Yarrowia lipolytica: one gene and its partners. The protein of the gene in region 2 interacts with the protein of the main gene of each other region in a pairwise test. Links are inferred from orthologs where the notes say so. Each region holds a gene or a part of one and is shown on either strand. Other genes may lie near its edges.

Region 1 (3,460 bases), on a different chromosome or scaffold from region 2:
TCTCCGCCTTCCTCCTCCTTGTTCTTGCTTCTTTCAGTGAACTGAATGCCGCCCAGAAACCGCTTTTTTCGGACCGGACTCGACGGCAGGTCGAACTGCGAGCTCCAGCCCTCTCTGTCGGACCATAGACTGCCTCCTGGACTCGAGGGTTGTTTGTCTGTCTGATCGGTTGGCAGGAAATTTGACGACTCAGATGACAAGTTGTCGCCGCCGTACTCGCGCTTGTCGCCCGTGCGCTTTGAAACCACGTGACTCCAGGTGTTGTCCACCGAAAACGGCTGTAGAGAAGACATTTGTGGTAGCCGGTCCAGGTGTTCAAGTGGTTTACAGTAGCTACTCGGTAAGGTATTACTGTAGCGCGTTATAGTGTTTCGTGATAGAGTTCACGGGTCGGAAATGAGTCTGGTAGGGTACAATCAACAAGGACTTCTTGAGAAGATGACCCCGATAAGGAAAAGTTGATTTAAAGCTGTATGTTTCTTCTCCGGTTTCCATTTTCCACCATTTCATTCCATCCACTACTTGCCGATTTACAGACGTCCAAAAACATTTGCTTGGTACTCTGAACCTTGACAGGGGAGTCGCGTGGGTGTTATTACATGTTGATAAATGGTGAATTGGGGTCTGTAGATATGGAGGAACAACTTGTAGGCCTATATATTGGCGATTTTGGCTTCTATCTCATTGTAATTCGAGCCCTGCCAGATGTCTCCATAAGCCACCAACTCGACCCAAGAAAAATCTCACTGAAAAATACAGTTGTGACTTCCAGATGCGGAGGAAAACTTGATTGTTGATTTGCCGATGGTGTGGGGGGGCTACGGGGATTTTGAGTATATCATGGTGGTCCTGGAGATTTCCCTGTGTCTGTGGTTTTGTTGTCGTCTTTCTCCGCCTCCTCGTTCGACTCCACGACTCGTTGTATGTCCAGCCCATTCAAACTGATCAATTAAACCTCCGAGTGCGGTAAATGGTTGAGATGCATGTTATCAGATTTGCACGAGTCGCAGTAATAGGGGACTGAGTCCAAAGAAGACGTGGATTTGAGGGGAGAGGTTATGTTCTTATTTTTGCGTGTCTAGTCACGTGTAGGTGGCAAAAATACTGCACCTAGTAGACACTGACTCCGCCTTCACGTACAAGTAATTAATTTATTTTGTTTTTTATTTTATACTTTTATTTATTCATTTTTTCTTTTTTTTCTTTTTTTAAGCCCGCGGGAGTCTAAAGAAAAGTAGCAAGTATATACCTGCAGATAGCAACGGACTCATAGGGAAGATGGTGCACTGCTCGACCCTTGTTCGATATATCGTGGGGTAAATGTCGAGTTGGTTGCGGTTGTGTATATCAGGCAGTATCCTCCCTTGTCGTCTGAATTGCTTTTTGGGCTTATCACATGCAGGAGTCGAATTTCAGGACCTTTTTTTTTTTTTCCTTTTTTTTCTAATTTTTTTTTTCTCTTTTTTGAATAAGGTCGTATGCACCCTGGTGGCTACAACTATTGTTTAGAACGGCTAAGTAGGATGTCTATATACTCAGGATGGAGGATGACAGCGGCGGCTGTATTGACACAGGAATATACAAACAGGATCAATCGACCACAAATGACCAAGGAGAGCACAGGACCCCCTCCAAAAACACACAAGTACCGGAAATCCCGCACCTGTAGCATCCTTGACACTGGTTATGACATGTCTCTCAGTTAGTCAACTATACTCAACTAATGCGACCAAGTAATAGCGTGATGCTAGTAGGCTATGATGACTTCGAATAATGACGCGATAGGAAGCTGGTAAATTATCGTCCACATACCAATTGTTGAAATATATATCCCCGACTCAGCTCGATCACTGAAAACGCTATATTGACATATTCGGCCACCGTCCCCATCTGGAGTCGAACCCACGTCCACAAACCCTCCACCAACCTTCGACTCACCACTCACCACATCAAATCCATAACCCAGAAAACTGTCCAGATCACACCTCCACCACAGTCCGCCATGTACCAGCAACCTCCCCAGCAGCAATATATGGGTGGCCAGATGAACCAGCCGCCGCCCAATATGCCCCAGATGGCACCCAGCGGCATGGCACCGGCCAACTCCAACGACCCCAACGTCATGCCGTTGAAGCTGACGGCAGAAGACGACAAGCTATATTCGTGGATCGTCGAGCTGATGCACGGCGAGGGTCGCGAGCAGGCTCTACTCGAGCTCGGAAAGAAACGAGAGCAGTACGAGGATCTCGCCCTCATCCTATGGCACTCGTTTGGAGTCATGAGCACTCTGCTGCAGGAGATTATGAACGTGTACTCCCTGCTGACGCCTCCCAATCTGTCCACTGCCGCCAGCAACCGGGTATGCAATGCCCTGGCCCTTCTTCAATGCGTCGCCTCACACGCCGACACCCGAACCCCCTTCCTTGTGGCCCACATTCCGCTCTTTCTGTATCCCTTTCTCAACACCACCGTCAAGTCGCGGTCGTTTGAGTACCTGCGGCTGACATCGCTGGGCGTGATTGGCGCGCTCGTCAAGAACGACTCGCCCGAGGTCATTTCGTTCTTGCTGTCCACCGAAATCATTCCCCTGTGCCTTCGAATCATGGAGAGTGGCACCGAGCTGTCGAAAACAGTGGCGATTTTCATCGTCCAAAAAATCCTCATGGACGACATGGGCCTCAACTACGTGTGCCAGACGTTCGAGCGGTTCACCGCGGTGTCGCAGGTGCTCGCCAACATGGTCCAGCAGCTGATTTCACAACCGGCCTCCCGACTGTTGAAACACGTGGTCAGATGTTATCTCAGACTGAGTGACAACGCCAGAGCCAGAGAGGCACTAAGACAGAGTCTGCCCGAGCCGCTGAGAGATGCTACCTTCAGCCAGGCTCTGAGAGACGATGCCGCAACCAAGAGATGTCTCGCGCAGCTGTTGATCAACTTGAGTGATAGTTACGAGTGAACAACGAGCAGTGCAGCTGCGACTTGTGAGCGGAACTCACAGTCCTACCACGAACATCGTGCTGCGACTAGTGACCACGACTACAGGTGTCAAAGCTGACCCATAGAGCAGTTGAATACCACTCAGCAACCCGGTTCATGAACCGCGAGCTTACTGCATCATCGAAGACCAACAAATCGCATAATAGGTCACCTGGAACAGGTGGTGACCCTAAGGGGAGCTGGGAGTGGCCCGTACGTACGGTACAACGCCACAGCATGTAAAAATATATTATCTATCTACACTAGACAAGGCCCGTGAACCGTGGCATCTGATTGAAATCAGACAGACATATTTCCATGATAGACAGATATGTCCATCTAAATAACTCATCCTTGCGCTTTCAGCGAGAGAGCTACCATCTCTCTAAAAGGAGCTCCTACGTGACAGCTACGTTATCACCGGAACGTCAAGTCACTGAACACGAAGTAGTCGAACCAACACGTAGCTAGGGTTAGTCGT
Region 2 (4,348 bases):
CCCGAATACTAATAGATCAATACCTTCAGTATCACACACACACACTACTTGTACATACATGCACACAACAATACAGCATCTCGTTGTTCACACATAAAGACCTGCCACCTCTCAGCTAAGGTTCGTTTAGAACCGTTGAAAGAACATGTCATAACAGACTACGATTCTTATACTTGTACTCGTTGTTGTACTCGTACTGTAAGCGCGGTCTTGGCTGCTGATAACAGGCATGAGCATTGCAGATAGCCCATACTTGTTTCCGATGCCAACACACTACCTGCTCCGTTCCCTGGCCCACATGTTGCTCGATTCTCGGCTCCTCCGGCTACAACAGCAACAGAGTATCGTGGTAACTACACTGCCTTTTATTCTACTCGTACATAATCATTACCTATATCCCTGTGGTTTCAGAACAGTTTGCTTGTACAAAACTGCTGAGTGAGCTTTGCTGTTGCTGTTGCTTCTAGCTGCTGCTACGATGGCATTGTATAGCTGCTGCTCTGTGTAACTCCAGTCATAGCTCTATGCGACTGATGTTGCTCTCCAGAGCTCCTCCACCACTACCTTGACCTTACGTCTTTCGCGAGCCGCTGTGGCTTCCAGAGTTACCGAAATCCAATGCCTTTTTCGGCTGGCCATCACCTCCCTTTTGCTTCTTGAAGGAGAATTCGGCCAGTAGAGAGATATGATCGGAGGGGTAATGCACCGAAGGGAATCCCACCATGTTGCTGGTATAGTCGGGATCAATGCCACCAAGCAGACCTCGCACAGACAGAGCGTTGGACGAATACCACACGTAGTCAATCACATCGACGAAGTTGGGTGTGTAGTTGGTGAATGCCAACTCACCAATGTTCGAGTATGCAGATTTGAGAGTGAAGCCGTGATTCATGCCCTCGTCTGTGAATTTGCCGTACGCTCTGCCAGACATGTCTTTGTGGTTGGTCACGGTGCCCTGCGAGAAGAGCGAGTACACACCTGAGTCGGTGGTGGAATTGAAGTCTCCACAGATGACCAGTGGCAGTTTCTTGCCAGACTCGTATTTGACGTTGTTACCGTCTTGGTTTCTTGCGCTGACTCGGTTGCTGTCCTTCGCAACCCGCTCAGCAAACTTCTCCACCTCATCCAGAAGCAGAGCCACCTGGATGAGCTTGACGTCGTTGAAGGCAGGGTCCCAATGTAAATGAGTGTTTGTGACGATGATCTTTTGGCCTGTGGTCACATGTTCTAGTAGCGCAATTAGCGCAATGTTGTCCTTGTTGAGAACTCGATTGTAGGTGTCGGCAGTCTTCTTGAAGTCGTTGTTCTTAAGTGCCAGAGACGAAAAGTCAAGAGACAGTTTTTCAATCAGACAGAACGACTTCGTCTTGTAGAAAATAGCACATCCGTCGACTCGCTTGGCATCCTTTTCCTTGGACATTGTTCGTGCTCGGGTCTTCGGATGGTACAGGCCAGCATAGCCTAGCTGGTGCAGCTTGGGTGACCAGAAATCCTCAAAGGAGGCTCCGTCGACTTCCTGGAAACACAGAATGTCGCTGTCGTATCCAATGACCTCCTTGAGAAGTGTCTCAGATCGGTGTTTCCATCCAAGAGCCCATAGCGGGGTGTAGCCGTGCATCTGGACTGTAGTGTACTTGTCACAAAGAGTGTTGTAGGACATGACAGTAAAGGTGTCGGACGAGGCAGATGCACCAGCTGCTGCTGCGTTGGCTCCTGCTGTGGCTGTGGCGACAGTAGAGCCAGACTCTCCCTCAGTTGCTGCTGCTGCTGTTGCAGCGCCACCTCGACCACCGGCCTCTTCCAGAACGATCCATTCTCGAGGCTTGGGGGCAGCGGGCATAGGAGCAGACTCTCTCAGCTCGGCAACCAGTTCCTTGGTTCCACCCTGCGCCAGTTTCTCCTTGATTGGCTGGTTGATTGGGTTACCCTCCAAACCAATCACCTCCAACTGGTACAACTGACCGACCTGATGGGGCAGAGTCGAGAGGTAGTTGTCGAACGCAAACAGGTATCTCAGGTTGTGGAGCATACCGATCTCCGGTGGGAGCTTGGTAAGCATGTTGGAGCTGACGTCTAGCACACGCAGTTGCCGCAGAGATCGGATTGCCGGAGGCAGCGTGGTCAGCTTGTTGTGATTAATGTACAATTTGAGCAGAAACTCGTAGCTGCGAAAAAGCGGCGGTGACAGACACATAAGACCCTGGCCCGACATGTCCAGATCAGCCCAGTACTGATGCTTCTCCTGCTGCATCAGCGTCATCTGTCGCTCCTCCTCCAGTTGATCCTTCTTTTGTTGATTTGTGTATCCTCTCTGGGGCGTGGATGCTGCGGTGGCCTGCTGTTGCTCTACCAGATCCTGCTGCACCGTTTGCACTGCCAGATCCACCAGAGTCAGTTGGCTGGGGCCTTGGTCCTTGTCTGCGTCCACCTGGGCTCCGTCTCTACCGTGTTGTTGACGCGAGTTGATGGCTGCCGCCCGGGCATAGCCGTGACTGGTGGGTCCCGTTTGTCGCGATAATTGAGCCAATTGCATCTGTTTCTGCCAGAATTTGGAGCCCATCAAACTGGCCTCGGGATAGGAGGGACTGTTGTTGCCTGCTCCAGTTGCGCCCACCCCGCCCGGGTTGCTGCCGCCGGGCTGGTGCAGCTGCTGCAACAACTGCTGCTGAAATGACGTGTTGTGGTTCATTTCGGCCGTGTCGGGGGATGATGTCCTTCGATTTGTGCTTGCTGATGATAGTCTTAGAGGTAGCCTTGTCGATGACTTCGTGATAAAATCAGCACACTGACCATGGTGGCAGTTTTGACGGCCTAAAGCTTAAATCTAGCCTTGTTGTGGGGGGGTGTGTGTTCGAATCTGCTAGGGGATGCACTAATAATAATAAATTTGAGTCACTGAAATCAAGCAGAAGGCGTGATAAGTGTGTCAGATGCATCGTTTACAGCCTATTCATTATTATCTGAGGCTCCTTCTATGCAGATATTAATATATACACATCTCATGATCCATGGAATGATGGCCCATACCGGACAGAAGGATCATGATATGACTGGATACCATCTCAAAACGGAATCGTTATCCAGTGCCCATAAGTGTGTGATCCTCCCCGCCCCGTATGTCTCTCCTCTCCATTGGGCGCCTCCTTGGTACACGTCTACTGTCATCCCAGCATCGACTGGCGTTCATGGTTTAGCATTTATAGTGGTGCGTTTCCTGATAAGCTGCGATCTAATGTGGTGTCAGTGTATTTGGAAGGGTACAAACATGTAGCGAGCGTTCTTTGTTGTCCCTTTTTTTTTTGGCCAGTGGTAGCTATCCGCTAGACCCTTTCGGTGATGCTATGTATTCACTTTTCAGCCATGGCTAAATTGGTATACCCTCATAGTACGACTACTTACCCCTTATTGACCTATCTAGCGATAGACCCGACATGAGCTCGAGGTACTGTAGCCATAGATATGTACAGTACTGTACGGTGACTTGCACAGTTCTCTTAGTGTGAGTACATATTGTAGACATCATCAAATTCCAGAGATGAGGTATCAGTATGCACTCTTACTTGAACCGGTGGCATTATTCGGTGTATTAAATGAATAATTAGGGATAACATACTTATACTGTGCAGTACACATACGGTACATGCACTCAATAATTGAACAACCTTTGGTATTACTTGTCCAAGTAGTTGGGTTTTCAGTAAGTACGACTGTAATTAGTTAAGCCAAGCATACCAAAGGAACACCGCGTATTCTACAGAGTTTGTAGTATCATGTTATTATAATAAAATAAAAAACACAAGACTGGTTGTCTCGTCATTATTCCAAGACAACAATGTTTTGACGTTCTATTTTTCACCTGGTGGAGTCTAGTCGGGCATTTCTGTCCATTTCTGATATCCCGACTTCTCTAAATTGAAACATATCACATACACACCCAGATCAACCACCTCAAGCGACAACTTACACGTACTGTATGTACAAGTACAGTAACATGGCAATTTAAGTCCGAATACGGAATACCCTAACCACAACATCGAAGTCGGTAGAATATTGAAACATGCATACCCGGCAATACCCGACATAATTCGATTGCTCCCTGACGAGATGTGAGTGAGTTGAAAACACCTCAAAGCAAAGAACAACTGCCGCAGAGCATCGAACGACAACAAACGTCGGCCTTCTACCGGTCCCTAAAGTAGTAGACAACCCCTTCCGTGTTTTCCCTATCACACGTCATCTCATTAATTTGAACTCTATGTCACAAGTACTAATTACTGTATATGGAGTTCCGTGCAATGACAAGAGAATGTGCAACCACCGGTAAGAAACCACGTGGCAACTGAAAGAG
Region 3 (3,785 bases), on a different chromosome or scaffold from region 2:
CCGGAAAAACGGAGTGGAGAGATGAACGAGTTATGAGAGCGAATATTAAACATCAGAAAAGAGCTGCAACTATACAGCTTGATTTACAAAGGTATTGATAGATAACTGGCGCAAGTTTCATCTAAAATATACACTTTTGCGGTGCGCGTGACCAATGCACAGATTGTCGAATGTTTACTTGGACTCAGAGACGAGCTCTTGTGGCTGAAACAGGCTGTTATAGTGGTTGTCTGAGTGGTTGTCTGCGCTGTAAAGCGGCCAGAACATGTGCTCTGATAGGGTAGTATCACTGTCGTTTGGGGACTACGATATGATGAGATTCATTATCCAGGATATCTTCACTGGAAGCAGGTTATTCGTACTTGTAGTTACCACTGAACACACTTTCGCCCTTGAGTTACAACCTCCATCTCCGTGCCATCACTTGAACACTCTTGTACTGCTCCACATCGTCCCCCTATCTCACAAGCACGCTCTTCTAATCATAACATGACATTACTATATATCCTCCATGATGTTCCAAGAAGTATGCTTACAGAGTGACTCCAACGAACCCCTTCCACCAACAAACCAGTGCTTACTTGAACAGCTTGGCAACAGAAACCTCGGAAGCATCGTTTCTGCTCATGACCTTGGCCACAGCCAGCTCAAAGTCCTCCTGGGTCACGTGGATTCGTCGCTCTCTCAGAGCGTACATTCCGGCCTCTGTGCACACTCCCTTGACTTCGGCTCCCGAACAGCCATTCATCTTCTCGGCAATCTTTTTGAGATCGATTCCTCGGGTTAGGTTCATTCGTCGTGAGTGGATTCGCAGAATGTCGGCTCGAGCCTCCACGGTGGGCGGGGGGAACTCGATCTTTCGGTCGATTCGACCGGGACGCAGAAGAGCAGGGTCCAGAATGTCAAGACGGTTAGTGGCCATGATGATCTTGATGTTCTTGGACGACTCGAAACCGTCCAGCTGGTTGAGAAGCTCCAGCATGGTTCGCTGAACCTCAGAGTCGCCACCGCCGCCGCCTCCTCCAGACTCGGTTCGAGCAGAACCAATGGAATCAATTTCGTCCATGAAGATGATACTTGGGGCATGCTCTCGGGCCATGATAAAGAGCTCTCGAACCATTCGAGAACCCTCTCCAATGTACTTTTGCACCAGCTCGGAACCAGACACTCGAATGAACTTACACTCGGTGTGATGCGCCACAGCTCGTGCAAGAAGGGTCTTTCCGGTACCGGGGGGTCCGTAAAGAATGACTCCCTTGGGCTGCGCGATACCCAGACTTTCAAACAGCTCGGGATGCTTGACGGGCAGCTCGATCACCTCCTTGATCTCCTTGATCTGCTGGTCCAGACCTCCCACCATGTCGTAGGTACTGTCAGGCACCTTTTCCACCATCATCAGCGACACCAGAGGATCGACCTTGTTGGGCAGAATCTGGTGCAGAGTGTACGAGTCCGATCGCAGACAGACCCGCAACGAGGGCGTGATCTTCTTAATGTCGAGGTCGGGAGCAATATCGACCACGTACTTGCCCTCGGGGTGGACCTTGACCAGCACCTTCTGCTTGCCCATGATCTTGATCACCTCGCCGACGTACGAGCCCGACTCCTGCAGCACGTGGAGCTCGTCCTTGAGCAGACGCACCTTGGTGTTGAGGGCGTTTCGCTGGGCTTCCAACCGTCGCAAGTTTTGCAGCTTCTTGTTGATTTTCAGCTCAAAGTCCTCAATCTGTTGCGCAAAGAACGGCGCAATGCCTGACGAGGAAGAGGGACCCACCTGGTTGCTTGCAACTGTCGTCATTTTGGTGTGTGTAGATGAATGATGTGTGGTTTTGTGAGGTGAGGTTGAGTGGTGATGGTCATGTGTGTGGGTGGGAGTGGAGGTAGTGAGCGGAAATTAAAGTTCAGTGGCGTCAACAACTGGACGCTGATAACTCGTGATGGAGAGGTGATGGAGGGTAGACGGCCGAAACTGACACTGATGTGCCACAGATGTATCGATCAAGACTGCAATATCCCCAATCCGATCACTACTCAAGCTCCTAGCGCCACTCCAATTGGCACCTCGATGATAGCAAAAGGCTAAAATGTACAGGTGGCGATAGTGATGGTGGGCGGCTGGTTGATCCGGGGTTGGGAGAGACAAGCCAAGTGTTATTGTATACGGTCATAGAGCAGCTCCAATGAATCATAAGACGATTGAACCGCTCTCGATTTTTTTTGGGGAAGGGGGCGGGCGGGGAGGTTTTCGCCGAGGCTGCTTAGGTAAGCCAACTAAATGTGACTTAATCGACCAACATGCATGTCTTCCCTCTCCATATTTCCGTACAAGTGCGACCAGCCGTGACTGCAACAGATATTTGTGCTCCCAGGCTTTTTCTACGGCACCAACGCTGTGATCCGGACACCACATTCTCCCACATTTTCCACACTTCCCACATTGCCCACCTTTCCCACATTTTTGCACAATGAAACTGCTATCGCTCACTCTTACATTGATTCTGCTCGTGGTGCCAGCGCTGGCATACACGGAGTTTTGCAAATGCGAGTGTTTCGGCGAGTACGAGATCATCGAGCTGCGACCACAAAAAGAACAGCTGCTGACGTGCAACAACTGCACCCGACAGTTTTGCCTGGACCAGAAGTTGACCATCTGCAAGGAGGCCAAGGGCGAGGTGGACGTGACCACGGCGTGCTTTGAGCGCGAGTCGTTCAAGGACCAGCTCATTGTGTACGCCTTTACCGGTGTTACTGTTGGGCTTCTTGCCTGGGCCTTGTTCAAGCCTGTTCTGACGAGATTCAGAAGGGGCTAGAGCAAGCTGTCATTTTAACATGGCAGGCGAGCGACGGAAAATCGGTTGCGAAAGACCTGGCCAGAGAGCCGCAACAAAAATAAAATGGAGGACCCTCCACAGCTCCACAGGGATATCCTCTGGTACTGCACTGGGGTCGCGATGCCTACCAAGGTACACCTATCGCACCAAGGTAAAGGTACATGTTTTTAGACAAGATTGCAATGCACGGAATGGATGTCGGCAGTCACTGATCTAGTTGAAAGGCCATGTCTGAAAGACCACTTCTGTAGACTAGTTTGTCGAGAGCAGGCGCGTTGTGAGGCGGCACGACAACCTGGTATGTACTATGCAAATGTGACAGGCTACACACGGGCACATGTGAGTGTGCTACTGTATACAGTGATGATCGTCTGGTAGTATGTTGATCAAGTGATCAGTGATCATGTTCGTATCGTAATGCGCTGAGACAAGAGACAAATGCAGCTGAGATGTGGTTATTTCGATTCTAGACCTTCCAGAAAGTACATATCAAGCGGGGCATCTGAAACCACAGTGCATTGGAATCGTATGGTATCGTTCAGTCGCACGTATCCCTGTCTGACGTCTGAGACCACCACCAGAAGTAAATCAAGACGATAGGTCGGCCCGGCAGACAAGTCCCGTCTGTTTCCCGCCCCTTCAAGGTAGACACGGGAGCAGGCTTGCGATCAGACAAAGTGCAGTGTCGGACATTCCGGAATGCAAGCCGCACCCTTGTGCATCGGCACCATTTGCTCATTTCCAGGAACACATTCCATCCAAACAAAAGCCGCGGCATATGAACAAGGCAAAACCTCCAAGTACCTACTCACCAAACGGTTGGTGGCACTCCACACTTTTCCTCTTTGGGCCAGGAGTCGGATGAGACAAGGTGTCTTGACCTGCTGTGGTTATGCACTATTAGACGACTGCTTATTTCCCACTCTAATTTCCAACATCCCGACTCAACTTGTT

The links.
Region 1: the proteins of YALI1_B19962g (region 2) and YALI1_F04643g interact in binary tests that used the Saccharomyces cerevisiae proteins (3 or more experiments, as listed by UniProt). The link is inferred for Yarrowia lipolytica from reciprocal best matches to the Saccharomyces cerevisiae genes CCR4 and CAF40.
Region 3: the proteins of YALI1_B19962g (region 2) and YALI1_D21167g interact in binary tests that used the Saccharomyces cerevisiae proteins (3 or more experiments, as listed by UniProt). The link is inferred for Yarrowia lipolytica from reciprocal best matches to the Saccharomyces cerevisiae genes CCR4 and RPT6.

What each region holds. Positions count from the first base shown.
Region 1 is NC_090775.1:462,352-465,811, forward strand, and holds YALI1_F04643g (uncharacterized protein), read left to right. Parts: upstream 1-2,002; coding exon 2,003-2,959; downstream 2,960-3,460. Other genes in the region: YALI1_F04626g (uncharacterized protein), read right to left, coding at 1-293; YALI1_F04655g (uncharacterized protein), read right to left, coding at 3,027-3,233, 3,286-3,291. UniProt on the Saccharomyces cerevisiae protein: Acts as a component of the CCR4-NOT core complex, which in the nucleus seems to be a general transcription factor, and in the cytoplasm the major mRNA deadenylase involved in mRNA turnover.
Region 2 is NC_090771.1:1,994,625-1,998,972, reverse strand, and holds YALI1_B19962g (uncharacterized protein), read right to left. Parts: upstream 2,690-4,348; coding exon 572-2,689; downstream 1-571. UniProt on the Saccharomyces cerevisiae protein: Acts as a catalytic component of the CCR4-NOT core complex, which in the nucleus seems to be a general transcription factor, and in the cytoplasm the major mRNA deadenylase involved in mRNA turnover.
Region 3 is NC_090773.1:2,114,904-2,118,688, forward strand, and holds YALI1_D21167g (uncharacterized protein), read right to left. Parts: upstream 1,799-3,785; coding exon 578-1,798; downstream 1-577. Other genes in the region: YALI1_D21173g (uncharacterized protein), read left to right, coding at 2,466-2,810. UniProt on the Saccharomyces cerevisiae protein: The 26S proteasome is involved in the ATP-dependent degradation of ubiquitinated proteins. The regulatory (or ATPase) complex confers ATP dependency and substrate specificity to the 26S complex.